4 linked regions of the Stegostoma tigrinum genome follow. The protein of the gene in region 4 purifies or fractionates together with the protein of the main gene of each other region. This does not show direct contact. Links are inferred from orthologs where the notes say so. Each region holds a gene or a part of one and is shown on either strand. Other genes may lie near its edges.

Region 1 (7,160 bases), on a different chromosome or scaffold from region 4:
CTAACACGAAGGAAACTAACATCGATACACGAACACCAACTGGCTACAAAAAGACACGACTAATACCCAGTCATCTCTATCCACATGGATAAGGAGAACCACCAATTTGACTGGGACAACACCAAAATCCTGGGACAAGCTAAGCAGAGACAGGCAGGGGAATTCCTGGAAGCCTGGTACTCCACGAAGAAAGCCATCAATAAACACACAGAACTCGACCCCATATACACTCCACTACGAAAGCAAACCGAAAGTGAGGCAATCCAGCTCAACCGACTCCAGAGTTTAAAAACCAAGTGGGACAAACACACCAGGCGCTTCATCGGGGGCTGCACTGATGGTGTTACCCAGCAGGGTAATGAAACATCTTTGGAACAACGAACCAGCTCGGCAAGCCAGCCAACCACAATACCGGATTCACAACGCCCATCAGAAATTCCTCCGCATTTTTATTAAATGGGTGATCCTTCACTGAAATTTTGCCCTCCGGTTGTAGACTCTTGCAAAATGGGAAACAACCTTGCAGTATCTATGTTGTCACGTCTTCTAAGAATCTCACAGACTTTCACAGGTTGCACAAAGCTTCAAATGTGTCAGCCAACACCGCATGCTCCTCCTCCAAGGACACCCAGGCACAGTCGTAATTACGGAAGACAGACAAAGACAGATGGTACAAACAACTAATGTTGTAATTAATTAATGCTCTGAAAAATATCTACATCCACTTGATAGAACTAAGAACTATACAAAGTAAGTGTGATCATTTTGTATTGCAGATTCAAATTACAAATCCAAACCATGCAATGTACATGGCACCAACTGCAAAGTATGAAACATTATCAGCTTAAAAACTCAAGTCTATTTCTTCTCATTTCTGAAGAAAAGTCAACCCTGTTATGATCCTGCAATGTTAACATGTTAAAAAGTCAGATTCCAGAGGAAAATGTAGCTTGAGATCCTAACTTTGTTCTTTTTGTTTAGAAAGTGGAGGTCCAGCACTGAACACTTTCACAAGTGTACATTTAACAAGGGAGTAACAAACCATACAACACTAAATAACATTCCACAAAAGTTTCAGTAACATCAAAATTACTCTGCATTTACAATATTCTTTTTATTCCAGCAATGGCAAATCTCAAAGATTCACCACCATCTCCATGCTTGACTGCTTGTGCAAACTGGCACAACTGCAACCTGTTTCCTTCTGGTAAATTCCAGGGCATTCTGTTGATGCTTTTCTGCAGATAGTATCCCTACCGAAACACCTAAATAAATTGTAAACTAAATACTATCTACAGAAATTGGAGTTTCTGTAAACTCAGTTGTCAGCAGTGCTGCAGGATTGCTTACTAGAGTATTTAATATTCCTGTTTCCAATTTCTACCACAACCTGAAACCTTATTGCTGGAGGACAATTTTTGTCTTTTTTTTAAAACAAATGCATTGAACAACCAATCCCCCATCTGTTCACTGTAAAGATTGTAAAACCACATCACAAATGGATGTATAGAAAAAGGCTGCCAAATTTCCAGGTACAAAGCCCACAAAACCCTCACAATGAAACTAAAACTTCCTATCAAAAAATACAAAATATAAATTAAACTTGAAGTGATAGTTTGTTCCTCACATCCTGAAAACTTAACCGTACCTCCACAGACCTGTTGCGTTTTCCCAGCCTTTGCCGTTTTCAGGCCAATTGCATTTGCAGTATTTTACTTTAGGAACATTACTTACATGGTTACTTATGTAGACCATTTATGACTATTGTTTTAATCAACATTGTTGGACATGTTATGACACAATGCTGTGCCAAGTACTACTTGAACTCAAACTTTCTGGCCCAGAAGTAGAGGCACTACCACCACACCACAACAGCCCTTATTGAAAATCCCATCGATCACCAGGCATATTCAATTTACTCTGGCCCATTAGGCAAAAGTCAACTTCACAATTAGACTAATGTTACACTGATGGTACATTATTATCATTTTTTCTCTGCTGCACATAAGAGAATTACATTAAGAACAACAGTGATAAGGCTAAACATTGTGGAAGGAGGGAAACAATGTAAATACCTTTAAACAAAAGCTTTACCGAAGCCATGTGCTGATTTGACTTGTCCTACACATAATATTTTCAATGTAGGTCTCAGTCTTCAATTCACAAAAGAAATAGCTTTCAAAGAAAATACCATTACTCTGAAATATATTCAGTAGATTTCCAAACTCTTTGAAGAATGCTTTGGCATTCTGAGATCCGTGATTTCACATATTAAACTAATATATTGCAGTACATGGGAAATCAGGAACTGAAAAGTCTTAAAACAAAATGGGCTCATGCTTTTTCCTGGTCACTATACAAGACGTTACTATATTCATGGACAAGGTCACGTCGTTTTCTCTGTAAAAATCAGATAACATTTAAGAGTCTCGCGTTCCTCTTCGTCACCAGATTAAGGGGGTGGGAAGAGAATAAAAGACGTACGACAGCAAATGCGTCTTTAATTTAAGCGATAAATAAAGTCTGGCTTTTCCTCTTTTTTCCCCATCAAGAAACCTGCATTTCCCACTCGTGTCATGGTTGCTCAACCGAGCTTGATTTCTCCCCGGGCCACCACCCGCCTTTTCATTGCTGATTGGCCGGTAGTCTGTAACTCCTCTGCCGATTGGTGCAAACTCACGTCAATCGCCACCTCACCCGGACAACTGAGGTAGGTTGAACTAACGGCCTGATTCTAGCTCCTCTCCCCACACCCCAAAACCAGCCCGTTTCTCTCTGTGGTCAATGGTTCACCGTCGAACGGAAGCGGTGAACCTAGGCAAGGCCACTCTAGAGACAGCAACAAAAGGAAATATCTTCTGTCAGGCCTGTTTAATGTCAGAATCGGTCCGTCTCGCCCGGTCTTTCCTACCTTCAGCGGCGGAGCTACTTTCCATGAAGCCCTCAACATTTTCCCTTAAACTCTTCGATGGTTTTATGTTCTTCGATGAAGAAAAGTACTCCGCTGTACCGGATCAGAACATTTTTTTTTACAAAAAACATAGACAATTAGAGACTAATGTGCAGCCCAACACCTTACTCCCTCGCTGTGAGGCGGGAGTGACCGTGTTGACCGCTTTCCGTACGATCGAGGCTGCGCCACACCAACGCGCACGCGCCCGCCCCCGCTGCTCTGTCTAACTTGGTCTTGGCGTCGTGCACAACCAACCTTGATAGCTGCTGAAGGCACTTTCTCTTTCAGGGCTCTTGTGGTGCAGTGCTAGTATCTCGACCTCGGAGCGAGTAAGCCCGAGTTCAAGTTACACTTTCTCAAGGAAGATGTATATCTTTCTCTCTCTAACCCTTCAATCTGACGAGTGATTTGCCCATTGAGAATCATCATCCACTTACCCTCCCCTCATACAGTGCACTCTGGGATGCTATCTACCTCCACGAAAACCCCTAGGGATAATTTTATAGCACAGAAATAAAGCCATAAGACCCAGAAGAAGTAGGCCTTTGAGCTCATCAAGTTTCTCTGCTGATCAGATAATCCTCAATTCCACTTTCCTGCTTTATCCTCATAACCCTTGATTCCGTTGCTGATGAAAATTTATCTCAGCCACGAATACATTTAATAACCCAGTCGTAATAGCCCTCTGTGGTACTTAATTTTTCAGATTCTGTACTAAATCTGTCCCTTTGGCATGCATTCCAATGCCACCTCACTCGAAGAGCCATATCCATTCAATCCCAATGCTCTGACAATTTTTCCCTACCCCTTTTAAGATTATTCCAGCACTTATCCACGTGTGCTTAGTAAGTTTTGATAAATTCCGCTTCACCCTTGCTTCTCACATCCAGGGAAATAAAATAAATGATGCTCAGACTAATGGATAAGGGCTGGATGCTGGTAAGATCAGTATGGGTTGCTTCTGACCACCTCCTCAAAGGCAACTAGGGATGGTCAGTAAATGCTAGCCCACCAGTGAACCCAACATCCCATAGATGAATATAGAACAAAAAAATGAAAAGAACTGAGGAACCCTAAAGGAACTAAAGCTACAATAGGTGTCATATATAGATCACTTGATAGCAGCTCAGAAGTGCTAGATTGTATAAATATTCAAATTTGGCAACTATGTAGCAAAGGCAGAGTAGTATTAGTGTGGGACTTTGATCAAGATAGACTGGGAGAGACAGACAAGCACCTGCCAGAAAGGTTGTGAATTTCGAGATAGTTTTGAGATAGTATCCTATGTCAATATGTCTTGGATGCAACAATGGAACAAACAATATTGAATCTAGTAACAAGAAATGAGTCTCATTTAATTAGTGGCCTGGTTGTTCGTGAGCATTTGCCAAATAGTGATCATAACACATTTGAGTTTCATGTAGTGTTTGTAAGAGATAAGCAAAGATTGGATACTAGAATTTTGGATTTACATAAGATAGATTTTAAAGGGATGTGGCAGAGACTATCCACAGTGAAGTGGGAAGTTCTGTTACTACGTAAAACAGCCAAAGAACAGAGGAAGGCATTCAAAGAAACATTTACTGCAATTCAGAAGCAATTTATATGCGTATAAAGGAAAAGCTACACCTCATTAAAAAAAACACAACCATGGACAGTTAAGGAGGTAAGGAGCAACATAAAATTAAAAGGGGCTTATAAAAACACATAGAAAGTACAGATTCCACAGAATTGGACAAATATAAAGACCAAAAAAGGCCCACAAAGCAGCTTATAAGAGCACGCTAGACCAGAGGGCAGTTAAGAGGGCATCACATTGTTCTGGGTCAGGAGTCATATTTAAGCAGATAAGGACAACAGTTTCAGAGATAATGGGAACTGCAGATGCTGGAGAATTCCAAGATAATAAAATGTGAGGCTGGATGAACACAGCAGGCCAAGCAGCATCTCAGGATGCTGCTTGGCCTGCTGTGTTCATCCAGCCTCACATTTTATTATCAAGGACAACAGTTTCCTTCCTTTAAGGGCATCTAGATGAGTTTTTCCTGTCAAGTAACAATGGTTTCATAGCCATCATTAAAATCTTAATGCCAGTTTTGCTTTTTATTGAATTCAATTCCACAATTTGCTGTGATAAGGTGTGAACCCAGGTCCCTGAACATTACTTGTGTCTCTGGATTAATAGTTTGGTGATTATACCACTACACTATTGTCTCCCCCACCTTCACAACAAAACACAAAAATGACCAGGAGCTTCCAATTGCCTGCCACTTTAATACACCACCATGTTCCCATACCAACATTTCTGTATCAGGCCTGTGGCAGTGCTCCAGCAAAGCTCAACACTTGAGGAATAACACCTCAGCTCTGCTAAGGCACCCTACATCAAGTTGAACAGTTTTGGAACCTGAACACCCCCTTTCTTGTCTATTACCTATTTTCAAACCCCAGGTCCTGTCTTGAAATATGTTGGCTGTGCTGAAAGCAACCTATTTTCAATTATTCATTGCCTATAAAGTGATTTGTCATACATACAGGCCCTTCAGTCCAACCTGGCTATACTAAACATCAAAACTCAAACTACACTAATCCCATTTACTTGCACTCAGTTCCTACTATGCCCTGGCATTTAAGAACTCACCCCGATGCTTCTTAAATGTTGTGTGCCACCATCCTCTGAGGCAGCATGTTCCATATTTCTAGCATCCTCTGGGTGAAAAAAATTCTCAGATCTCTCCTAAGCTGTTTACTTCTTGCCATAAACATGTGCCTCCTGTATTAGACATGTCTGCTATGTGGAAGATATTCTCATGATCACCTCCATCAATACCTGTCATTGGAGGTACGATGTTGTGGCCATTACAGATACATGGATAACACAAGGGCAGGAATGGCTGTTGGATGTTCCGGGGTTTAGATGTTGCAAAAGAAATAGGGATGGAGATAAAAGAGGTTGGGGTGTGGCATTGCTAATCAAGTATGGTATCACAGCTGCAGAAAGGGAGATCATCGAAGAGGGTTTGTCTACTGAGTCAGTATGGGTGAAAATCAGAAACAGGAAAGAAGCAGTCACTTTATTGGGAGTTTTCGATAGACACCCCAATAGCAACAGAGACACTGAGGAACAGATTGAGAGGCAGATTTTGGAAAGGTGCAGAAGTAAGAGGGATGTTGTCATGGGTGACTTCAACTTCCCTAATATCAACTGGAACCTCCAAGTGCAAATGGTTTAGATGGAGCAGACTTTGTCAGGTGTGTCCAGGAAGGATTTCTGACTCCATATGTAGATAGGCCAACTAGAGGGGAGGCTATTTTGGATTTATTGCTTGGCAACAAACCAAGCTAGGTGTCAAATCTCTCGGTGGAAGAGCATTTCAGTGATAGTGATCACAACTCCCTGACCTTTACTATAGTCATGGAGAGGGACAGGAGCAGACGGTATGGGAAAGTATTTAATTGGGAGAAGGGGAATTACAATGCTATTAGGCAAGAACTGTGGAGCATAAATTGGGAACAGATGTTCTCAGGGAAATACACAACAGAAATGTGGAGGTTGTTTAGGGAGCAGTTGCTACAGGTACTGGAGAGGTTTGTCCCACTGAGGCAAGGAAAGGAGGGCAAGACATGTGGAACATCTAGTCAAGAAGAAGAAAGAAGCTTACTTAACGTTGAGAAATCAAGGATCAGACAGGGCTCTAGAGGTTTACAAGGTAGCCAGGAAGGAACTGAAGAATGGACTTAGGACAGCTAGAACAGGGTATGAAAAAGCTTTTGTGGATAGGATTAAGGAAAACCCCAAGGCATTCTATACTTATGTGAGGAACAAGAGGATGGCCAAAGGGACAGTGGAGGGAACTTGTGCATGGAGTCAGAGGAGGTAGGGGAGGTCCTTAATGAATATTTTGCTTCAGTATTCACCAGTGAGAGGGACCTTGTAGTTTGTGATGCCAGCACGAAATAAGCTGATATGCTTGGACAGGTTGATGTTAGGAAGGAGGATGTGCTAGAAATTTTGAAAAATATGAGGATAGATAAGTCCCCTGGGCCTGATGGTACATACCAAAGGTTGATATGGGAAGCGAGGGAAGAGATTGCTGTGCTTTTGGCAATGATCTTTTCGTCCTCACTGTCTACTGGAGTACTACCAGATGATTGGAGGGTGGCAAATGTTATTCCCTTGTTCAAGAAAGGGAATAGAGATAATCCT
Region 2 (7,042 bases), on a different chromosome or scaffold from region 4:
TGCTGTAATTAAAGTCTCACAGTGACATGCACACCCCCTGCATCACGTTTCCATTACTTAGTGGATGCTTCTACAATGATTATGTGGACTTCTCGATTATCCAGAATATTTTATCAACTAGCACACTCCTGGTCCCATAGACACTGGTTGATAAAAGGTGCGCTGCATGTGAAGAGAAATGTTCATCATTTGGACCAACTGATTGCAAATAGAGTGTAATGCTATTCCGTAGGATTTTCTTGAGCATTTCTGCATCTGTTACACACTTCCAGCGGCTTTTACAGTTCTTTGTTAGATCAATGTTTGCAGGAGGCACTAGGAACAGGAATTTCAAAATTAAAATGCATCAATCGCATTATCGCGATCCGTTGACTTCATTTTCCCAAAAAAGAGAGTGCAGGTGGTGGGTGGTGGTGGTCGAGGGTTTAGTTTTGAAATCATAAAAGTTCATCAATTCGACCCCAGAAGTGAAAATCATAAGTCAAAGAAACGAACGATTGCTCAGTACAAGGGGCACCTCCTCGTGGGCAAACCAGAAACATGCCGAGTGACAGGATTTTCAGTGCAAGGAAATCTCACGCAGAGGGGAAAGAGCAGGACAGGAATAGGCCACAGCCCCAAACTCAACAAGTACACCATACAGAAGACATGTGTAGCCACCATTTCAAATTAGTAAAGCTGAACAGCTGGCTGCAGACACAAAAACTTGATAAGACATAGGGTCAGCTTAAAATAAAAGGCGGAACATACACTCACGCTAAACGTCGTTTTGCTAGAAGCAGCATTTTAAAAGTGACTCAAAAACCCACAAACGCAGTTTCACAGACACTCAGTTGAATGTTCTGAAGGCATGTAATGGCCCTGAGCCATTCTGCAACAGGAATGAGAAACTTTTAAAAGCCCTCTTCGTTTGGAGCACTCCCTGGGCAAGGTTACAAAACCTGAAATGCTCTCATGTCTTAACATTCACAGCCGGGGGTGGGGGGGGGGAAGAAGTTGTTTACACGTCCTACTTGCAAAGTAATGCGTGCTTCAAGAATGCGTGCATTGTCAAGATAACACCAAAAATCTTTACATTTCCACAAACACAAAGCAACTGTTAAGGTTGTAAACAGCCATCTACTGAAGGTGTGCCCCCCGGATGGCGTTTGAGTGCCCCTAATCTATGGAGTTTGGTTCAAGGGGTCATTTGGGACTTTTTTGCAACGCCAAATGTTTAATTTACAAGATTAGTAGCCAAGGTGAAACTCCCTTCTCCACAAAAAGCATACCAGATGCACTCACCTGGATGAAAGTGACGTTATTGGGGAACTCAGCCACACAGCGATCCACAGCCACGGGTGGGGCAGCGATTGGGCCCTTACACTTGGTCAGCGACAGCGGGAAGCGCCTCTTCACCTGCCCATCGCCCTGCGACGGCAGCATGTCCTGCGACAGGAAATGGCGGATGTTCTGTCGGGCCGTGTGGATGAGGCTACCGTCAATGTCGATGCCCACAATGCGCGAGGGCTTCAAGTCTTTGGCGATGCTGAGCGTCAGGTGGCCCGCGTTGCAGCCCAGGTCCAAGATGTCCTTGCCCTGGAACCACTCAGGCTTGAAGAAGCTGAGCCGGGGGTCCTCACAGCGGCCTGGGTTACGGTAGCCGTAGTACTTGGTGTAGTTGCCATACTGGAACCGCTTCTGTTTGCTCTGGAAGTTGGGCTGGGCCTTGCCATCACGGTGCAGGCTAGAGTGGCGCTGGAAGCTGTGTTGCTGCTGGTGGTGTTGGTGATGGTGGTGGTGAGATGCCTTGCCTTTTGCCTTCTCTGGCATTGGCTTCTTGGCATCCGCACCTGGCAGCCTCGGCTCTTCCTCCGAGCTGGTCGGGATCTTGCCCAGCTCGGACTTGCTGGCGGTCCGGCGCCGCTTGCGATGCCGGCTTCCAGTTGGGGCTTGCTCGGAGCCACGGAGGACAGGTGACACAATCTCGTCCCTGCAGTTAATGAGGGTGTTGAGCTCGTAGGGCTGGGGGCCCTCAGGCTCAGTTGGCACCTCGGAGGACCCCGGCCCCACGCTTGTTCCTGCTGGGTTCTGACCCACAAGGCAGTCCCGGGAGCTTGGGTCCAGTGGGAGAACTTGGTTCCTCTCCGCTGATTCGGTGGCGGTGGCAGACTGGGGTTGCTGGCCAGGCTGGTGGTGGTAATGACGGTGTCGCCTCTTGCGGCCCAACTTGAGGGGCGATGGCAGGACCTCGGAGTCATTGTTGAGGTTGAGCGGGTCGGTGATGTCCTTGGGGATGAGGATCTCTACCGGGTCGCGGTTCCGGCTGGGCAGAGGCGAGGACTTGGGGGTCTCAGCGTTAAGAGCCTTGTTGACGTCCTCGTCCAGCAGGCTGTTGAGGTTGAGCGGGTCAAAGATGTTACCGCCCAGCAGGAAATTGCTGGGCAGCACCGGGTCACAGTCTGAGTTGACGCGGCGCCTCCTCTTGAACCCGGGGTGCTTGAAGCCTACGTTCAAGCTATTCCTCCGTTTGAAGGCCCTCTGCTGCTGCAAGGGCTGGAGCCCATTCCTTGGCCGGCTCAGCTCCGCCACGCTGTCAACCTCATCTTTGGCACCAGGGGACAGGGCAACCTCCTCACTGACGGGCGTCAGCACCCTGCCCGGGTGGCGGTGTAGCTCCTCGACCCCCATGGCAGACAGGTACTCGGGCTTCAGGAGGGTCACCTCCCTGACAGAATCTTCCTCGACCGACGCCGCCATCAGACGGCATGGGGAGCCTCTTGGCCACAGGGGGTGGTTGCTGGCGTGTGGGTCGGCCTGGCTCTCTCTCCTGTGATAGCGCCCCCGTTTGCCCAGTGCAGCAGCAACTTCCCAAGCACCAGGGGCTGAGTCAGCCCTTCCCCCTCCCCCCACCCAAGTTGCAACCAGTGCACGACGTCGCCGTTACGCACTCTAACGGAATCCCACGTCGCCCGTGACGTCAGCGCGTCTCATCAACATAAATGAATTATTCATATTCTGGGACCTTAGCGAACAATCAACTCACCCCCTCCCCCCCACACCCCCTCACCACCAACCTTCACGGGTTTTGTTTATCGACTCCCGCTTCTACCCCTCCCCCGCTAAACCCAGTCCTTTCTATCCTCCACCTGACCGAAAAATCCAAAATGGCAACTTTAAAGCCCTCGATTGTCAAGTTTGTGGAACTTAAAGCGGAAATATATCCGCAAGCGACGAACCGTGCTTATTCATTCGGTGGAAGTCACACGGTTGCTTTTCACACCACCACCCCCCTCTTCCCTTTCGCTTCGAACTCCACCCCCCACCCACTTATTTAAAAGAAAATTAAAATCACTTTTTTTCAAAACCCCCCCCTTTCCTCGCTCACCACCCCTTGGAGCTGCTAAGGCGCACTCGCTATTTTTTTTCCTCTCTCTCCCTTTCCCTGTCCCCTCCCCCCCCTTTCTCCCCTCACAGTGCGCTTGCGTCTCCTTTTATAACCAAGCTGGACCGCCCCTCGGCTGATAGACATCCGTCCCCACCAATCGGCCAGAAGGGGAGCGCGTCGCGCGGCGAACCTCTTCCCGGCCCCGGCCAATCCGGATACAAGGGATGGGCGGGACTTCAGCCACCCTTAGCCCCGCCCCTCCCCCCACAACCGCTGGAAGGCGGGACACGGAGGTTGTGGGGGAGGGGAGGGCCGCCTAGGCGTCCGTCCTCACCGACGGAAAAAAATAGATTGTTTTTTAAAAAAACAGAAATAAGGTATAATAATTAATATGTAACATCTGAGTTTTGGTTCGACGTGTTTCCCAGCCCCAGTAGACAGGGAGAGTCCTCAAGCTTGTTCTGTTAAGGCGGGGACGCAAGGTTAATCCCCGCCGTCGTCTGAGGGAGGGAGGGCTGATGGTGTGTACGGGGGTTTTCAATCGTCCGTCCCCGATGTGGAGTGTTGTTTTTGTTTCCCCTCCCCGCCATCATTCAGGCGCCGGCCGCGGCTCGCCTCCCTCCTTCCGCGCGGCGAAAAACAAACCCGACTTCTCAAACGGGAACCGGGGCCGTCTCACAGGCTCGGCGTTTACTTCACGGGGGTGCGGACACCCTCAGAGCCAGGCCCGCCGGCTGCTGGGAGGGGGTGGAGGGGGGAAGTTGGAAGAAATCGTTAGAGAAAAAAATTCCGTTCGACGCCCTGGGGCTCTCACGTCGTCTTTTTGTCGGTTGGCGCTCGACTCGACATCCGTTGGGGGCGATCACGTGACAGTGGCCCGAAGCGGTGCCCGATGGGAGTTGTAGTTTCCTTCCACTTCCACGCCTCTCCCCACCCCTTCATCTCCCTCCGTCCCCGTTTAACCCCTACTTGCGGTCCCCCCCGCCCATCTTTCAACCTTGCCCCCAATATCCTCCCACTGTCTCTCCCCGTCAACATCCCACCTACCTGACCACCCCCAACCGTGTTCCCACAACTCTCACATCCCACCATCTCTAACTCCTCTTACCCACTCCCCACCCCCATCTCTGATCCCACCATCTCTTTCCCCCTTCCCTCTTCCTATTTCCTCTATCTCTTTATCCCTATCTCCCACATATCCTCCCCAACTCCCCTTCCTACACATTTCTCCTCCGTCTCTCTCTTCCCATCTCCCCTCATTTCCTTCTCCCCAACCGTCTCCTCACCCCACCCCCCACAAAACTCCTCACCTCCAAACACTGGGCATTCACCTACTAGAAACAAAGCCACATTGGGTCTATTTCCCAGCCTCTGGCTGAACTACTCTGTTTCTAAAAGCTGGCCGCTGGAAGGGAACTCACAGCAGGGATTTGGGGAATAAAAGTTTCTCCTAGACAGTAGAGAATGTCTGGAACTCACTGAGGCAGGGTGGTAGAGGCAGGAACCCTCAAGATATTTAAGAACTATTTGCATGAGCATGTCCAAGTGCTTGAAAATGGGATTTGAATAGATGGATGATTGATCATTATCCCAGATGCAATGTGCCAAAGGGCCTCTTTCCATGCTGTATAACTCAATGACAGATAGGGTATAAATCTTATCTTCTCTAACTTCCCTGACTGTCTCCAGGCCGACAACATCTGATTGACTCTTTAACTGCCCTTTGAAGTGGTCAATCAAGCCACTCTACTTGGGGCCAATTGGAGATGGGCAACAAAACCTGGCCTCAGATGCACCCCTGAAAGTTTATTAAAAATTCACTCCACACATTGTAGATACATCGACAGTGATGTGGGGCTGGGAATATCATTCTCGACCCAGCGACAGTGAAGGAACAACAACATATTTCCAAGTCACGGTGGTATGGAGCTTGGAGGGAAGTTGCTGCTGGAGGATTTCTCATACAATTTGTTCTGGATGGTACTTGTGATGGGTTAAAACTATTTCTTGTATTACGCAAAGACTAATGTACTTAATTGGCTGCAAAGTACCATGAGCTGTGAAGAGTACCATATACATACAAGTCTTTTCCTTTAAATTCTTTCTCAGGAAATTGGCAACACAAAGAAAGCTAATATTCTCTGACTGTCTGTTGATCCCCTTGAGAACATGAAAGGTTATGAAAACTGCTTTGTCAAACCTTTGCAGTCACTGTGGTGATCGTACTTAGTGAATGAGATGAGTTTTTTTAACGAGTTCCAAAGTTATGGTTATTTTAATCAACCTGTTCAGACATGTTATGACAAATCTCTGGAGTAGTTGGGAATTGAACTTGGAGGTGGGGTCACTACCAATGCACACTACAAGAGCCCTTCATTCAGCAGTTTTATGCTCGGCCTGTGACTAATTTTAATCCCGAGTGATTAAATTGGAATTTCTTCATGTGGGATTTTATCGAGTCGTGAGATTATTGGGGTGGCATGGTGATTCTGTGGTTAGCACTGCTGCCTCACAGCATTAGTGACCCAGGTTCAATTCCACCCTCTGGTGACTGTCTATGTGGAGTTTGCATGTTTTTCCTGTATCTGCATGGGTTCCCTCTGGATGCTGCAGTTTCCTCCCACAATCCAAAGGTGAATTGGCCATGCTAAGTTGCCCATAGTGTCCAGAGTGTTGAGTGTGGTCGAGGTGGGTTCGCCATGGGAAATGCACATTTTTTATAGAATCCCTAGAATGCGGAAACAGGCCCTTCATGCCAACAAGTCCACACCGATTCTCAGAGGATCCTACCTAGGCCCATCCTCCTTTAATCCAACTAATCTACACATCCCTCAACACTATGGACAATTTTCCCTGGCAAATGTACTGTGCTGTACTTTTCTATGTTCTATGTTTTAAATCCACTTAGCCTGCACATATTTGGACTGTGAGAGGAAACCAGGGCACCCGGAGGACACACACAGACATGGGGAAAATGTCTAAACTCCACATAGACGGCCACCCGAGCGTGGAATTGAGCCCAGGAGCCCGGCACTGTGAGGCAGCAGTGCTAACCACGGAGCTGCCTGTTATAGGAATAGGCTGGGTCTGGGTGGTATGCTCTTTGAAGGGTCGGTGTGGACGTGATGGGCCAAATGGCCTGCTTCCACACCATAGGGATTCTATATATCTTATAAATTCAGTAACAAAACCACTGCGGGGGCTGTTTAGCTAAATTGGCTAGATTTTTAGCGCATGGTTTAGATTGATTCCCAGTTTAGATCAAGTAGATTTAGGAGCTGACTCCTTGCTCTCACCTCGAGAGTTAAAGGTGATGGTAGACACCATGGACAAAAGTATTGAATCTTCTCTATTTCCTTTTCTGGCAATGCGTTCCAGATCACAACAATTTGCTTGCATAAAAAGAAGGAATTTTCTCACCTATTGTCCTTAATTTCTTTGGTAATTATTTCCAAATATCTGCCCCCCCCCCACCCCGCGCCGGTTTCCGATGCTCCTGCCACTAGAGACGGTGTAAAACCAAGTTAGAAAATTATTAATTCGCTGGAAGTGGGTGTTGCTGGTGAGGCCAGCATCTTTTTGCCCATCTCTCGTTGTCTTTGAGGAAGTGCTGGTCAGCAGCCTGCGGCCCATGTGCAAAAGTTCTTAGTTTCAGATGATCGATGTAATCTTAAA
Region 3 (7,343 bases), on a different chromosome or scaffold from region 4:
CTGGTTTTGGGATGCAGCGGGGGGAGAGGAGATTTTGAAGCTGGTGAAATCCACATTGACACCATTGGGCTGCAGGGTTCCCAAGCAGAATATGAGTTGCTGTTCCTGCAATCTACGGGTGGCATCATTATGGCACTGCAGGAGGCCCAGGATGGGCATGTCGTCTGAGGAATGGGAGGCGGAGTTGAAATGGTTCGCGACTGGGAGGTACAGTTGTTTATTGTGAACCGAGCATAGGTGTTCTGCAAAGTGGTCCCCAAGCCTCCGTTGATTTCCCCAATGTAGAGGGAGCCACACCGGGTACAGCGGATGCAGTATACCACACTGGCAGATGTGCAGGTGAACATCTGCTTGATGTGGAAGGTCATCTTGGGGCCTGGGATGGGGGTGAGGGAGGAGGTGTGGGGGCAGGTGTAGCACTTCCTGCGGTTGCAGGGGAATGTGCCGGGCGTGGTGGGGTTGGAGGGAAGTGAGGAGCAGACAAGGGAGTCGCGGAGAGAGTGGTCTCTCCGGAAGGCAGACAAGGGTGGGGTTGGAAAAATGTCTTTAGTGGTGGGGTTGGATTGTAGATGGCGTAAGTATCGAAGGATGATGTGTTGTATTCGGAGGTTGGTGGGATGGTATGTGAGGACTAGGGGCATTGTCTTTTGGTGGTTATTGCAGGGGTGGGGTGTGAGGGATGACTTGCGGGAAATGCAGGAGACATGGTCGAGAGCGTTGTCAACCACTGTGGGGGGAAGTTGCGATCTTTGAAGAACTAGGACATCTGGGATGTATGTGAGTGGAATGCCTCATCCTGGCAGCAGAGGCAGTGGAGGCAAAGGAATTGGGAATAGGGGATGGAATTTTTGCAGGAAGGTGGATGGGAGGTGGTGTATTCCAGGTAGCTGTGGGAGTCAGTGGGCTTGAAATGGATATCGGTTTGTAGGTGTTTGCCTGAGATGGAGACAGAGAGGTCCAGGAAGGTGAGGGATGTGTTGGAGATGGTCGGAGATATTCCACTCCCGTACATCCCAGATGTCCTTTTTCTTCAAGGTCTGCAACTTCCCCCCCGCAGTGGTTGACAACGCTCTCGACCATGTCTCCCGCATTTCCCACAACACATCCCTCACACCCCACCCCTGCAAGAACCACCAAAAGTGAATCCTCCTAGTCCTCACATACCATCCCACCAACCTCCGGATACAACGCATCATCCGCCGATACTTCCGCCATCTACAATCCAACCCCACCACCCAAGACATTTTTCCATCCCCACCCTTGTCTGCCTTCCGGAGAGACCACTCTCTCCGCGACTCCCTTGTCTGCTCCACACTCCCCTCCAACCCCACCACACCAGGCACTTTCCCCTGCAACCGCAGGAAGTGATACACTTGCCCTACACCTCCTCCCTCACCCCCATCCCAGGCCCCAAGACGACTTTCCATATCAAGCAGATGTTCACCAGCACATCCACCAATGTGGTCTACTGCATCTGCTGTACCTGATGTGGCTTCCTCTACATTGGGGACCGCTTTGCAGAACACTTACGCTCGGTGCGCAATAAACAACTACACCTCCCAGTCGCGAACCATTTCAACTTCCCCCCCTCCCATTCCTCAGACGACATGCCCATCCTGATGCCACCCGTAGGTTGCAGGAACAGCAACTCATTCTGCTTGGGAACCCTGCAGCCCAATGGTATCAATGTCGATTTCATCTGCTTCAAAATGCCCCCTCACGCCAGTACATCCCAAAACCAGCCCAACTCATTCCCGCCTCCCTAACCTGTTCTTCATCTCACCTATCCCCTCCTCCCACCTCAAGCCGCACCTCCATTTCCTACCTACTAACCTTATCCCGTTCCCTTGACTTGTCTGTCCTCCCCGGACTGGCCTGTACCCTCCCTACCTCCCCACCTATACTCTACACCTATCTTCTCCTCTATCCATCTTCGGTCCGCGTCCTCCTCTCTCCCTATTTATTTCAGAATCCTCTCACCATCCACCTTTTCTGATGAAGGGTCTAGGCCGGAAATGTCAGCTTTTGTGCTCCTAAGATGCTGCTTGGCCTGCTGTGTTCATCCAGCTCCACACTTTGTTATCTTGGATTCTCCAGCATCTGCAGTTCCCATTATCTCTGTTTCATTACCATGTTGTGTATCATCCTCAGTGCAGCCTCTGACAAAAACGTCGACTTCCCACCTGGTTTTTAAACTCTGGAGTCCATTGAGATGGATTGCCTTGCTTCCGGTTTTCCTTTCCAGTGGAATGTATATGGGGTTGAGTTCAATATGGTTATTAATAGCACACTTCGTAGAGTGCCAGGTTTCTAGGAATTCTCATGCCTGTCTCTGCCTGGCTTGTCCCAGGGTCTTGGAGCAATCTCAGTCAAAATGATGGTTCTCCTCGTCCATGTGGATTGAGTTGTGTCAGTGCACACCGATGCTTCATTGGAGGCTGCACTGAGGAAGTTATCCAGCATGGTAACAAAACGTCTGCAAAACAAGAAACCAGCTTGGCGAGCCAACCAACCTCAATACCGACAACCCGAGCTACAAATCTACCCCAAAACCTTCGAAATTAATTTATCTGTTGGTGGTCTCAGAAGCATCTTACCGGATATCCACTATGACCCAGTGATTTCCCTCTTGGGACTTCTGAGGAAGGGTCACGAAACCTGAAACATTTACTCTGATTTTTTCTTCACAGATGCTGCCAGACCTGCTGAGCTTTTCCAACAACTTCTGTTTTTATTTCCCTCTTGGTGATCAGTTGCCTAGGAAACAGGGAGAGCACTAGGACCCAGCGTGCTCCCTTTTGATGGTCCACTAGCCAGAAGTCTCAGGGGGCACTAGGACCCAATGGGTGCTCTCTCTTTGGTGCTCAGTCGCCGTAAGGCTGAACGGGCACTAGGACCCAGTGGGTGCCCGCTTGTTGATCTGTTGATCGGGCTGAGACCAAAGCCGAAAATGAGAAAACTGAGTTTAAGGAATAGGCATCTGCGATCACGAAAGTAACAGTTTATACTTTTATATAAATGCAACACGATTCTCTCCGTGCCCTCCTTCACCTGACTTACCGGTGCCCGTCGTCCCGCTGCGCGTTCTGGATTGTCGGCGCCATGGCCGCACGCCGCGCTGTGAATGCTGGGATCAGGAGGCCTAGGACTACAGCTCCCACAACGCTCCACGCCGTACCCACAGACCACTGCGGCAGGCTCGTCCAAGCTGATCCCACCCCTCACCGCTCTAACCCCGCCCCGAGACGCTGACGCTGGCCCTCCCAGGCACTAAACCCCACCCACTCATTGCACTGACCCCACCTTCTCCGGGCACTGACGGCACTCTCTGCGGCACTGTCCCCTACTCCCTAGGCACTGACCTCCACCCTGTCTGGGCAACATCCCCTACTCCCTAGGCACTAACCCCCACCCTCTCCAGGCACTGAGCCCCACTCCCTCCGTGCACTGTCCCCTACTCGCCAGGCACTGACCTCCACCCTGTCTGGGCAACATCCCCTACTCCCTAGGCACTAACCCCCACCCTCTCCCGGCACTGAACAGCTTAGTAGTCAGTTCAATGGCTCATTGATCAGAATTGTTTCCAGCCTCTCAAAAGGTGTTTGGCACTCCTCTGACCAACTGATTGTATTTTTTCTTGGTTTTTCAACAAATCCATCAGTAGAGCTACTATAGTGTTGAAATTTTATACAATCTCATGGTAGAAACTACATATCCCCATAAAACCTCTTGAATTTCCAATTAGTCTTAGGGACATGGAACCATTCCAACATGTGTACTTTTGCTGTTTGTGACAGCATTTGTCATTGCCCTGCCATATGCCCATGTAAGTTACTTACATTTTTTGCAAATTCACTTTATCAAGGTTCATCATCAAATCAACCTCTAATTTTCTAAATAGAGGTTCTAGTTATTCCAAGTAGTCTTTCCAAATGTCATTGTGTAGCAGGACTTCATCAAGGTAAGCCACACAGTTAGGAACACTGCCTACCACTCAGAGTCACAGAGTCATGGAGATGTTCAGCATGGAAAGAGACCCTTCTGTCCCTCTCGACCATGCCAACCAGATATCTGAAAAGAATCTAACCCCATTTGCCAGCATTTGGCCCATATCACTCGAAACCCTTCCTATTCATATACCCATTCAAATGCTTTTTAAATGTTGTAATTGTACCAGCCTCCACCACTTCCTCTGGCAGCTTGTTCCATATACGCATCATCCTCTGCTTGAAAATGTTGCTCCTTAGGTGCCTTTAAATCATTCACCTGTCATGTTAAACCTATGCCCTTTAGTTTTAGACCCCCCCAACATCAGGGAAAAGACCTTGTCCATGTACCCTATCCATGCACCTCATGATTTTATAAACCTCTATAAGGTCACCTCTCAGCCCCGATGCTCCTGTGAAAATTGCCTCAGCTCATTCAATCTCTTCCTATAGCACAAACCCTCCAACTCTGGGAACATCCTTGTAAATCTTTTCTGCACCCTTTCAAGCTTTACAACATCCTTCCTATAGCAGGGAGACCAAAATTGCAAGCAGTATTCCAAAAGTGGCCCAACCAATGTCCTGAGATAACAAGGTGTGGAGCTGGATGAATACAACAGGCCAAGCAGCATCAGAGGAGCAGGAAAGCTGGTGTTTCGGGCCTAGACCCTTCTTCAGAAAATGAAATGTCAACCTTCCTGCTCCTCTGATGCTGCTTGGCCTGCTGTGTTCATCCAGCTCTACACCTTGTTATCTCAGATTCTCCAGCATCTGCAGTTCCTCAACCAATGTTCTGTACAGCCAAAACATGACATCCTAACTCCTATACTCAATGCACTGACCAATAAAGGCAAGCACACCAAACCCCTTCTTCACTACCCTGTCTACCTCCGACTCAACTTTCAAGGAACTATGAACCTGCATTCCAGGGTCTCTTTGTTCAGCAACACTACCCAGGACCTTACCATTAAGTGTATAAGTCCTGCCCCGATTTGTTTGTCCAAAAGCTGCACCTCACATTTATCTAAATTAAACTTCACGTGACACTCCTCGGCCCATTGGCCCACCTGATCAAGGTCCCCTTGCACTCAGAGGTAACCTCCTTTGGTGTTCAATACACCTCCAACTTTGGTGTCATCTGTAAACTAACCATACCTCCTATGTTCACATCCAAATCATTTATACAAGTGACAAAAAGCAGTGGACCCAGCACCGATCCTTGTGTCACACTGCTGGTCACAGGCCTCCAGTCTGAAAGGCAATCTTCAGAGATAATGGGAACTGCAGATGCTGGAGAATCCGAGATAACAAAGTGTGGAGCTGGATGAAGACAGCAGGCCAAGCAGCATCTCTCCCTATCCCCCTTTTCTGATTAAGGGTCTAGGCCTGAAACGTCAGCTTTTGTGCTCCTAAGATGCTGCTTGGCCTGCTGTGTTCATCCAGCTCTACACTTTGTTATCTTGAAAGGCAATCTTCGACCACCTACCCTCTGTCTTCTACCTTCAAGCCAGTTCTATATCCAAATGGCTAGTTCTCCCTGTATTCTGAGCTTCCCACAGGGTTCTAAGGTACATCTGATCACATCCTGGGGATTTATCCACCTATATGCATTTTAAGACATCCACTGATGCAAAATACACATTTAGTATTCCCCCCAATCTCCTGCAGTTCCACACATAGGTGGCTTTGCTGATCGTTAAGGGGCCCTCTTCTTTCCCTAGTTACTCGCTGTTCCTTAATGTATTTGTAGAATCCCTTTGGATTCTCCTTAACCCTATTTGCCAAAGCTAACTCATGTCTCCTTTTCACCCTCCTGATTTCCCTTCCACTGCCTTTAAACTCTTCTAAGGATTCACTCAATCCCTGCTGTCTATATCTGACATAGGATTCCATTTTCTTTTTGACCACAACCTGAATTTCTCTGGTCATCCAGCCATTCCCTACACCTACCTGCCTTGCCCTTCACTCTAGCAGGAACACACTGTCTTTGGACTCTTGTTATCTCATTTTTGAAGGCTTCCCATTTTCCAGCCATCCCTTTTCCTGCGAATATCTGCCCCTAATTAACTTTTGAAAGTTCTTGCCAAAAGAGTCAAAATTAACCTCCCTCCAGTTCAGAACTTTTAGATCCAGTCTATCCTTTTCCATCACAATTTAAAACTAGTAGAATTATGGCCATTATCCCCAAAGTGCTCCCCCACTGACACCCCTGTCCTGCCCTGCCTTATTTCCCAAGAGTAGGTCAAGTTTTGCAACTTCTCTAACACTATGGCAGTCCCAGTCTATGTTTGGAAAGTTATAATCCCCTACCATAACCACCCTGTTATTCTTACAGATAACTGAGACCTCCCTAAAAATTTGTTTCTCAATTTCCTGCTGACTGTTGGGGGGGTGGGGGTCTATAGTACAATCCCAGCAAGGTGTTCATTCCTTTCTTATTTCTCAGTTCACCCAAATAACCTCCCTGGATATATTTCCAGGAATATCCTTCCTTAGTACAGCCATAATGTTATCCCTAATCAAAAACGCTACTTCGCTTCCTCTCTTACCCCCCTTTCTATCGTTCCTGTAGCACCTCTCGACAAAGGAAAAGGCTGGGTGTCAAGGCCTACGTACCTTTACTTCTTGGTGTTAATGGGATATCCCAGTATTAGTGGAGCAGAACTGTTTTGGTAAATAATCCTCCACTGCCGATTCTATCAGTACAATGTTCCAGATCAGGAATTGGGTATAAGGCACTGCATTGACCTTTCTGCATCTATGTAAAATCCAGTTGATCCAACAAGCTCGGGCATGAATACAACTGGGGAATGCCAGCCATCCTCCCTGAGTTTGGTTAGACGGTTTTCAAACATATATTGCATTTTTGCTTTCACCTGGGCCTATTTTCTGGAACCTAAGTGCTAAGGGTGGTGGGAGAAGATTAATTTACATCCATATCAAATGTAAACCCTGGCTTGTCCTGACAGACTCCTTTGACTTCCTTGTTAGGTCCCCTGTAGTACTGCCTCTCAATATGGAAGAACATCTTTCATCTCCCTAATGGTTCAGTGTTAGCTAGCCAGATAGTGGGAGGTGAATTGTCAAGACCCATTACTGCCTCATACCTACGTATAAAGAGAGATCGGATTGATTAGGGCTATATTCACTGGAATTTAGAAAAATAGTGTGAGGGATCTCATAGAAACCCCTAACATTCTACCAGGACTAGACAGGATAAATGCAGGGAGGATGTTCCTGGGGAGACCAGGGTCACAATCTAAGGATATGGAGTAGGCTATTTAGGACTGAGATGTCGAGCCTGTGGAATTCTCTGCCACAAAAAGCTGTTGAGGCCAAAGCATTGAATGTTTCCAA
Region 4 (8,006 bases):
AAAGCATTCAGACACTCTAGTAAGTATTGTGCGAGCAGCCACTTGGGACGATATCAGAAGTGCATTTTGGGTACTATACAAAAGCAGTTTTGTTTCTTTTTTATTTTTGTGTTTAGTATTAAAGGGATAATACTTTATTGTGACTAAAGATCTTTGAATTTGCACTGTAGGTAGATGGCTTGGAACATTCTACTTTATCTCCATTAGCTGGGATCATAACACTGATCTCCTGTTGATATAATTGTAAATGCTGTCAAAATCTGTCTTTATATTCCCAACTAGTTTATTCCTAAGCTACTTTTTCTTCTATCAACTTATTTGCTGATTTTCTCTGGTTTCTGAAACAATCAATTAGAACAATCTTTTGCAATCTTAAAGGCTTCTTTTATTTATTACCATCCTCATTTCCCCAGTAAGTGGCAAGTGGATCTTTCTAGCCTTGTTTCTATTTTTGGTAGAAAGTATTTTTGTCAAAAATTTTAAATGATTTTATATAAAGATTTCCCACTAGTCATTTACTACCAAAGCTTTTAGTCCACCCAATCAACCCTAGTCAGCTCATCTTCTAAACTGGCCCTGTTTAATATCCTTATTTTGAGATATCATGCTAAATTTTAATATGAAAATTAAGTGTATGATGAGCACATTTTAACAGCGATAGTAAGAACAGCCAATGCTAGAGTCAGAGATAGGACAATGTAGAGCTGGACAAGCACAGCAGGTCGGGCAGGAAAGTTCACGTTTCGAGTCAGGACCTTTCTTCAGAAATGGGGGAAGAGGAAGGGAGCTCAGAAATAAATAGAGATGGGGGGGTGCTGGGAAGGTAGACGGGATATGATAGGTGAGATCAGGTAGGGGGTAGCAGGAGGAGCAGGTAGATGGGAGAGAAGATGGACAGATTGTGTCAGGTCAATAAGGCGGGTTGAAGGTGGGATGAGGCAGTGGGTGGGGAGACTTTGAAACTAGTAAAAGTCCAGATTTAGGCCATTCGGTTGTAGGCTCCCAAGGCAGAATATGAGGTGCGGGTCTTCCAGTTTCCGGGTGGTGTCACTGTGATACTGGAGGAGGTCCAAAATGGACATGTCATCTATGGAGTGGGAGTGGGAGCTGAAACTGAAAGGTGGTATCGTTTGTCGTGAGCAGAGCACAGGTGTTCTACAAAGTGGTCTCCGAGCCTCTGCTCGGTCTCACCAATGCAGAGGAAGCTGCAGCGGATGCAGTAGACCATGTTGGCGGATATGCAGGTGAGCCTCGATCTTATGTGAAAGTTTTCTTTGGTTCCTTGGATGGAGGTGAGGGAGTAGGTGTAGCACTTCCTACGTTTGCAGGGAAACGAGCTGGGGGTGGTGGACCTAGTTGGGAGTGTGGAGCAGATGAGGGAATCACGGACAGAGTGGTCCCTACGGAAGGCAGATAGGGGTGGTGAGGGAAATATATCCTTGGTTGTGGGGTCAGATTGCAGGTGGTGGAAGTGGCGGAGAATGACACGTTAAATCTGGAGGTTTAATGGGATGATACATGAGGACAAGGGGGATTCTGTCTTTGTTTTTGTTGCAGGGAGGGGATATGACAGCTGAGTTGCAGGAAACACAAAAGATGTATTCAACAGCATTTTCGACCACTTGGGGGTGGGGAGAAGAAGCGTTGCAGTCCTTGAAACAAGGGGATGTCTGGGATGTTTGGGAGTGGAACCTTGGGAGCAGACACAGCAGAGACAGAGAAATTGGGAGCAGGGGATTGCATTCTCGCAGGAAGGTGGGTGAGAGGAGGTGTAGTCTAAGTAGCTGTGGGAGTCGGTGGGCTTGAAATAGATATCAGTTTCGAGGTGGTCATAGGAAATGGAGACAGAGGTCCAGGTGAACAAGGGCAGCATGGTGGTTCAGGGGTGAGCACTGCAGCCTCACAGCGCCAGGGACCCAGGTTCAATTCCAGCGTCGGGCAACTGTCTGCGTGGAGTTTGCAGATACGGAGAGAATGTGCATCGGTTTCCTCCCAAAGCCCAAAGATGTGCAGGCTAGGTGAACTGTCCATGCTAAATTGCCTGTAGTGTTCAGGGATGTGTGGGTGGTAGGGGTAGTGGGGTAGTGGGGGGGTAGTGGGGGGGTAGTGGGGGGGTAGTGGGGGGTAGGGGGGGGATGGTCCAAGGGTCAGTGTGGACTTGTTGGGCCGAAGGGCCTGTTTCCACACTGAAGGGCTTCTATGATTGAACTTGAAGTCGGGTTGAAAGGTGTTTGTAAAGTTGATGAACTGTTCATGCTCCTTGTGGGAGCTCAGAGCAGTGCTGATACAGTCACTGATGTAGTGGAGGAAGAGGTGAGGGCTCGTGCCAGTGTAGCTGTGGAAGAGGGGCTCTCTCACGTATCTTACGAAGAGGCGGGCCTGGCTTGGGCCCATGCGGGTTCCCATGGCCATACCCTTAGTCTGTAGGAAGTGAGAAGAGTTGAAGGAGAAGTTGTTAGCGGTAAGGACGAGTTCAGTTAATCTTCTTAACAGTGGATCTCTCACTATGAGACCACTCATTAACCCCGCCTCAAAGCACAATCGTAGATTTACAAGTAACTATGCTCTCTTCCGTTCCACAACATATTCTTCCAGGAGGCTGTCATGAAAACATTCAACAAGCTCAGATCACTTTTGCGAATTTGATTTGTTGATTCCATTTGAAGATAAGGTTAGAATGAATTACTCACATATAGGCGAGACCAGATAAAGACAGATTTCCTTCCCTAAAGTCCTGTACATTCTCTCTCCCATTCCCCCAACCAGTCGCTCTCTCTTTCCTCTTCTTCTCTACCATCCAGTCCTCAGTCCTCAGTCCTCAGGCCCCGCGCTCCCTTGCCCCTTCCCCCCACCCGTTCCCAAACCGGACTCACCCGAAAGTGCCCTGCCCGATCTTCGCCAGCTTCTCGTACTTCCCGACCTCGTCGCAGAACTGGAAATCCAGCGCTTCATAATGTTTAATCATGTCGGCGCTGAGCCTGACACTCATCCCACCATCCGGGCACCTCGCCATCATCTACTTCCGGGGCGGCCGGCTGTGCGGCACGCTGTGATGTAGCCGACATCCGCTACAGACAGCGGCACCAATCGGCCGGGAGTGCAGCTGCAACCGTTCTGTCTCGACCCAGCCACAAAAGCAGCTGGTAGCAGTTCCAATAGGGAGCGGAGTTCACCCGCAGTGTCCTAGAAAACTCCTACTTCATTGTCTTCTCATGCATATTTTGAAATCAGCAAATATAAAGCTCAATTTTAGGGAGAATGACTCATTGTCATTTTTCTTACACTTTTTCATGTTTCTACAACCATTTGGTTCAGTTAATTCACAGAACATTGAGCTGCCAAGCCTTGTCCATCTCTCAGCCAAGTTTCAGAAGTAGCTTTGATATCCCTGTCTCATGTTCTTAAATATGCCCTGAGTTCATCAGCCTTACCCATAAGATGCCTTTCAATGAAATAAGTGCAATTTAGTTTTTCAGGGTTACTACATACTATGATTCTCTCTTTTCTAATTGACATGGTCTCTTCGCATTCAGAACCTTCGCTGTCAATCTTTCTATTTACGCTGCTATTTAGAATTCCTCCACTCCCTTAAGTCTCCCTTAATGGAATGAGCAAATCTCCCTGTTAAGATATTGGTCACTGTCCAGTTCAGGTTAGACTCATTCTTTTTCAACAGGTCTTTTCTATCCTAAATGACATTCCAATTGTCCAAAAACCTGAATCCCTGGACAATACACCAGCTTTTCAGTTATTGATTTATTGCCTTAGCCTTTTGTTGCTTCGCTTGTTTAAGTTTGGCATTGAGAGTAAACCAGAAATTGCTATTTTTAAGGTTCTTTTTTTAAAATCTTCTACCTAACCTCTTAAATTCACTCTGTACTGCTTTAATCTTGTCTCTAAAAATGTCATTCCTACCAATGTGTACAATAATTTATGGCTTCTCAATCTCACCTTTAATAGGCTTGAAATGTTTGGAGTTGTTCTTAATCCTAGCACAAGGAAAGCAACAAACCATCCTATAGTTATGCTCACTGCCACAGAATCTCCTGTCTATGTCCCTGACAGCAGAGTCCTCTATTACAATAATCCTATTAAATCTTGTAAAGCGTTGCCTAACATAAGGATTATTCCAAGTCCCCAACAACTTACTGCCCCTTCCATCTTCCTTGGTGAGACTATCCCCTTTTACAGTTCCAAAAGCTAAATATCTATTTGATAGAGGAATAGTCACCAGAGACTTTTAAACTACCTTACCTTTCCCAAGTCACCCATCTATCTGACAGATCCTGCCATGTAAAAGCCTTTCTAACTCTGCCAGCCACCTCACTCTGTACCTTACATAAGGCCTTAATAACACTATGCCTAAAAGAATTTTCAGAAACACCTTATACTGAAAATAAAACATCTTTCATTACCTCCAGAAAATAATGTTAAAATGAAAAAAAACAAACAGATAAAACTTAAATGAAATCAACCATTTAGCTGATTAACTGAATAAAAAAAACTCCTCTTCAATAAATTGCTCAAAGGAAAAGAAAAGTCTTCTCTAGAGCCAACCATATGTAGGACTCACCAAAACAAAAACACAACTCCTTGCTTTTAAAAAAATCTGCTTGGTTTTTCAAGAAAAGACTTCTGCAATGTAAAAGAAAACACCCGCTAAAACACATATAGTCTTTTTTAAATTTCTGAATTTAGAATTAAAAATACCTCAGCTGTTCACTGTAGAAAAGCTTGTTTAAAAACAGTGCATTTGAAAAGAAAATCACAATTTTATTTGTTTGTTTTTTGGCTTTTTTGTACTCTAATAAAACAGAATGAATAAAACATCTTATACTAGTAAAATATCATGACTGTAATAACTGTAAGAAAAACTATAATAAATCTTTGATTATGTCTGCAATCCCAGGAGCATCTGCAAGATCCACACTGCCTCCCCTGAACTTCGAAAGGAAGTGGTAAATGTGTGTACAGTTACAACATTTAAAGGTCACTCAGGTAAGTACGTGAATAAGAAATACTTGGAGGGAGATGGGCCAAGCATTGGCAGATGGGACTAGTTTAGTTGGGGATTATGGTTGGACTGAAGAATCTATTCCTGTGCTGTATGACTCTATGACTACAGTTAGATAATGGGACATCTTTGGAATTTCCTGAATTAATTCCCATTTTGAGCTATTTTGGATCTGAACCAACACTAACATATCCCCAAACTCAACTTTTTTTTACTCAGAAATGTTAATATAAGGAAATATTTCAAGGCATTTCAATGCCTGAATTTTACCTCATGTTCAAGATCTTTCTATTCCTGATATATATTACTCACTCAGGTTTTGGTGTGTGGAACACAATTTCAACATTTGTGGACAACTCAGTATTTGGAAATATTGTGAATTGTGAGGAGGATAGCACTCAACTCCAGAAGCACACAACCAGGTCGGTGTGGGGAATGAGTAGATATATCACAGGTGTAATTTGATGCAAAGAAGTGCAATGTGATGTATTTTGGTAGAAAAGACAAGAGCAGGCAACATAAAATAAAGAATAGAATTGAGTATGACTGAAGGAACTAAGAGACCAGTGACATATGTGCACAAGTTGTTGAGGGTGTTGAAGCAGTTTGAGAAAGGTGATCAAAATGGTGATGAGCATTTATGAAACACTAGCTTTTGGCCTCAGTTGGAATAGCAGTCTATTTGTTTACACAAACCTTCAGGGAGGATGTGACAATCTTTTTGGAGCTGCTGAATTAGTCACATTCCTCTATACCTTCCTCTTTAAGTTTTAACACTTGAAAGACTTAAGAGATGATGCAAAAAAAAACTCCTGAAAATGGTTCCAGGGATGAGGAACTTTGGTTACGTGGATAAAGTGAAGGGGCCAAGTTTTTCTCCTTAGAGAAGAGAAGATTGAGAAATATGGTAGAAATGTTTAAAATCTCGAGATGTCAGGGCAGAATCAATTAAGTGTAACTGTTCCCATTAGGGTCCAGAAACAGGAAAAAAAAAGCTTTCAGGAGATTGGCAAAAGAAGCAATGAGATGTAAGGAAAATCTTTTCCCCACACAGTGAATGGTTAGGATCTAGAATTGCGCTTGAGACTGTGCTGAAGACATGATTTAATCTGCCTTTCAAAAGATAATTGGATCATTATATGAAAAATGAGTAAAAAAATGTATACCAAATTGTAGAGCAAAAGTTGTCATAGGTGGGATTATTGACACTCTATGATCTGCTCTTGCAGATAGACTGCTCAGACACAACAAGCCAAATGGCCTCTTTGTGTATCATAAACATCCCATGATTTGATCGAATGAGGATAAATTTTCATAAACAGTGGAGTGGTGAGGTTATCATGTTATGGATGAATCATGTCCCTCAGTGGCCCCAAGTTACAGAAGGTATAAGGTAAATCAATAGACAATCAAAACATGTAATCAAATTCCATGCTCAACCAAGCATGAATTGGGTCTAACAACGGCAAGAAAAGTCATAGCAGTCCAATCTTGACCCATTTTACCCTGGCTCATCATTTCTTTCCACACACCTCTGATCTCCCTTTCAATCTGCCCATCAAAGACAAGGAATATGACCAAGATGTGAAACCAGAAATTGAGGAGCTGCCCCTTAAGTTTACAGGCCAGGCTTCTTTTAAGTATCATTCATGTTGGCACTTTGCAGATAAGAAAAACAGTCCTGATCCTGAAATAGGGCATGGGGAGAGTTTATATGTCAGTGAAGAGGTTCAAGAAAGCATTTAAGGCCTTTCTGGCAAGCAGCATAATGCACCCAGGATCCAGGCACTAGGGAGAGTCTATCAGGGCTTTCTACTAGGTCCACTTGCCCCCTATTGGACGGCAAGATGATCAATCAGTACAGAAGATGAAAACAATCACTGTTTCTGCACCTTAGTGATTACCACATTCACCCTACACATGAAATGTCCCTGGTACAAAACTGAACAGGAATGTTCCGGAGTCTGGTGGTACAGAAGGTCAGTCCAACCTGCTGTAGCGGTACTTCCTAACATGTCCAACATATCTGTTAAAAATAATTTAGAAGATGACAGTAAAGAAATGGATCAATAGCATACAGGGAATTCCATAGGGTAGAAAGGAAAATAAGGAATGATTCTTACTTTGCAGCTGTCTCTGATAAATGTGCAGATTCAGATCCAATCCACAAAGGACTATGAAGTAATTAAAGGGACATAGACCAAACCTGCTGCTGGTGATATTTCACCTGGATATTATTAAACCAACCCTGAGGTTATGACCATAACTTAGTGACTACTGTTGGATGTGCAAGTCAAAGAATTTCAAGGAAAGACAGTGCAACATTATAACAACACCTCTATACTGAGGTACACTTTGAAACATTTCCCATGCACGATGAAAAGAAATGCAAAGGTATTGCACTGGATTTTCATCCGAGACTGCGTGCTAACATTCCAGCGTGGGGTTTTACACCACCACCTTTGGACATGGGTTCAATGGAAGCTTTGTTAATGGGATCCTGGTCAAGAGACCTATTCACTGACTCACTTTAAGGAAAAAAAATCCTGCCATTCTTATTCCTTTTTACTACCTGTGCTGAATTTGCAATTACTCTTAAACAACCTTCTGAAGTGATTTTATAAACCTTTCAGCTGGACCAAGCTCAGGGCAGCCAGGGATACAAGCAATAAATAATGCTGCCAACATAAAATATACTTAGAAACAAGGTTAATACTCCAGGCAAGGCTTCTTTTAAGCATCATTCACATTGACAAAGATGCAAAACTCTATTCGTCATAATTTTTAGAGGGTTTGCTGACAAGAAATGTAACAGTGTGTGGGGCTGTTATTTCCATAAATATACTCATTGGGAAATGTGGAACTGGCTTTGCAGATGCTCCCAGAGTAAACAAAGTGCTGTACAATCAATTGTAGTCAATTATTCAGGGAATTAGTGACTCATTCTACAAACATTCTAGCTTCAAGACTCTTTAATGGTTCTGCACTGTTT

Evidence for each region.
Region 1: the proteins of cdk9 (region 4) and immt purify together in Homo sapiens (affinity purification with mass spectrometry; 3 studies listed by BioGRID, with this or other methods). This does not show direct contact. The link is inferred for Stegostoma tigrinum from reciprocal best matches to the Homo sapiens genes CDK9 and IMMT.
Region 2: the proteins of cdk9 (region 4) and 7SK snRNA methylphosphate capping enzyme-like purify together in Homo sapiens (affinity purification with mass spectrometry; 10 studies listed by BioGRID and IntAct, counting the BioPlex papers as one, with this or other methods). This does not show direct contact. The link is inferred for Stegostoma tigrinum from reciprocal best matches to the Homo sapiens genes CDK9 and MEPCE.
Region 3: the proteins of cdk9 (region 4) and paf1 purify together in Homo sapiens (affinity purification with western blotting; 3 studies listed by BioGRID and IntAct, with this or other methods). This does not show direct contact. The link is inferred for Stegostoma tigrinum from reciprocal best matches to the Homo sapiens genes CDK9 and PAF1.

What each region holds. Positions count from the first base shown.
Region 1 is NC_081354.1:168,485,687-168,492,846, forward strand, and holds the start of immt (MICOS complex subunit MIC60), read right to left. Parts: upstream 3,143-7,160; 5' UTR 2,951-3,142; coding exon 2,912-2,950; intron 1-2,911. UniProt on the Homo sapiens protein: Component of the MICOS complex, a large protein complex of the mitochondrial inner membrane that plays crucial roles in the maintenance of crista junctions, inner membrane architecture, and formation of contact sites to the outer membrane.
Region 2 is NC_081398.1:9,416,930-9,423,971, forward strand, and holds the start of 7SK snRNA methylphosphate capping enzyme-like, read right to left. Parts: upstream 3,020-7,042; 5' UTR 2,740-3,019; coding exon 1,285-2,739; intron 1-1,284. UniProt on the Homo sapiens protein: S-adenosyl-L-methionine-dependent methyltransferase that adds a methylphosphate cap at the 5'-end of 7SK snRNA (7SK RNA), leading to stabilize it.
Region 3 is NC_081392.1:4,125,727-4,133,069, forward strand, and holds the start of paf1 (RNA polymerase II-associated factor 1 homolog), read right to left. Parts: upstream 3,159-7,343; 5' UTR 3,105-3,158; coding exon 3,061-3,104; intron 1-3,060. UniProt on the Homo sapiens protein: Component of the PAF1 complex (PAF1C) which has multiple functions during transcription by RNA polymerase II and is implicated in regulation of development and maintenance of embryonic stem cell pluripotency.
Region 4 is NC_081382.1:34,259,365-34,267,370, forward strand, and holds the start of cdk9 (cyclin-dependent kinase 9), read right to left. Parts: upstream 3,033-8,006; 5' UTR 3,017-3,032; coding exon 2,874-3,016; intron 20-2,873; exon of another isoform or gene 1-19. UniProt on the Homo sapiens protein: Protein kinase involved in the regulation of transcription.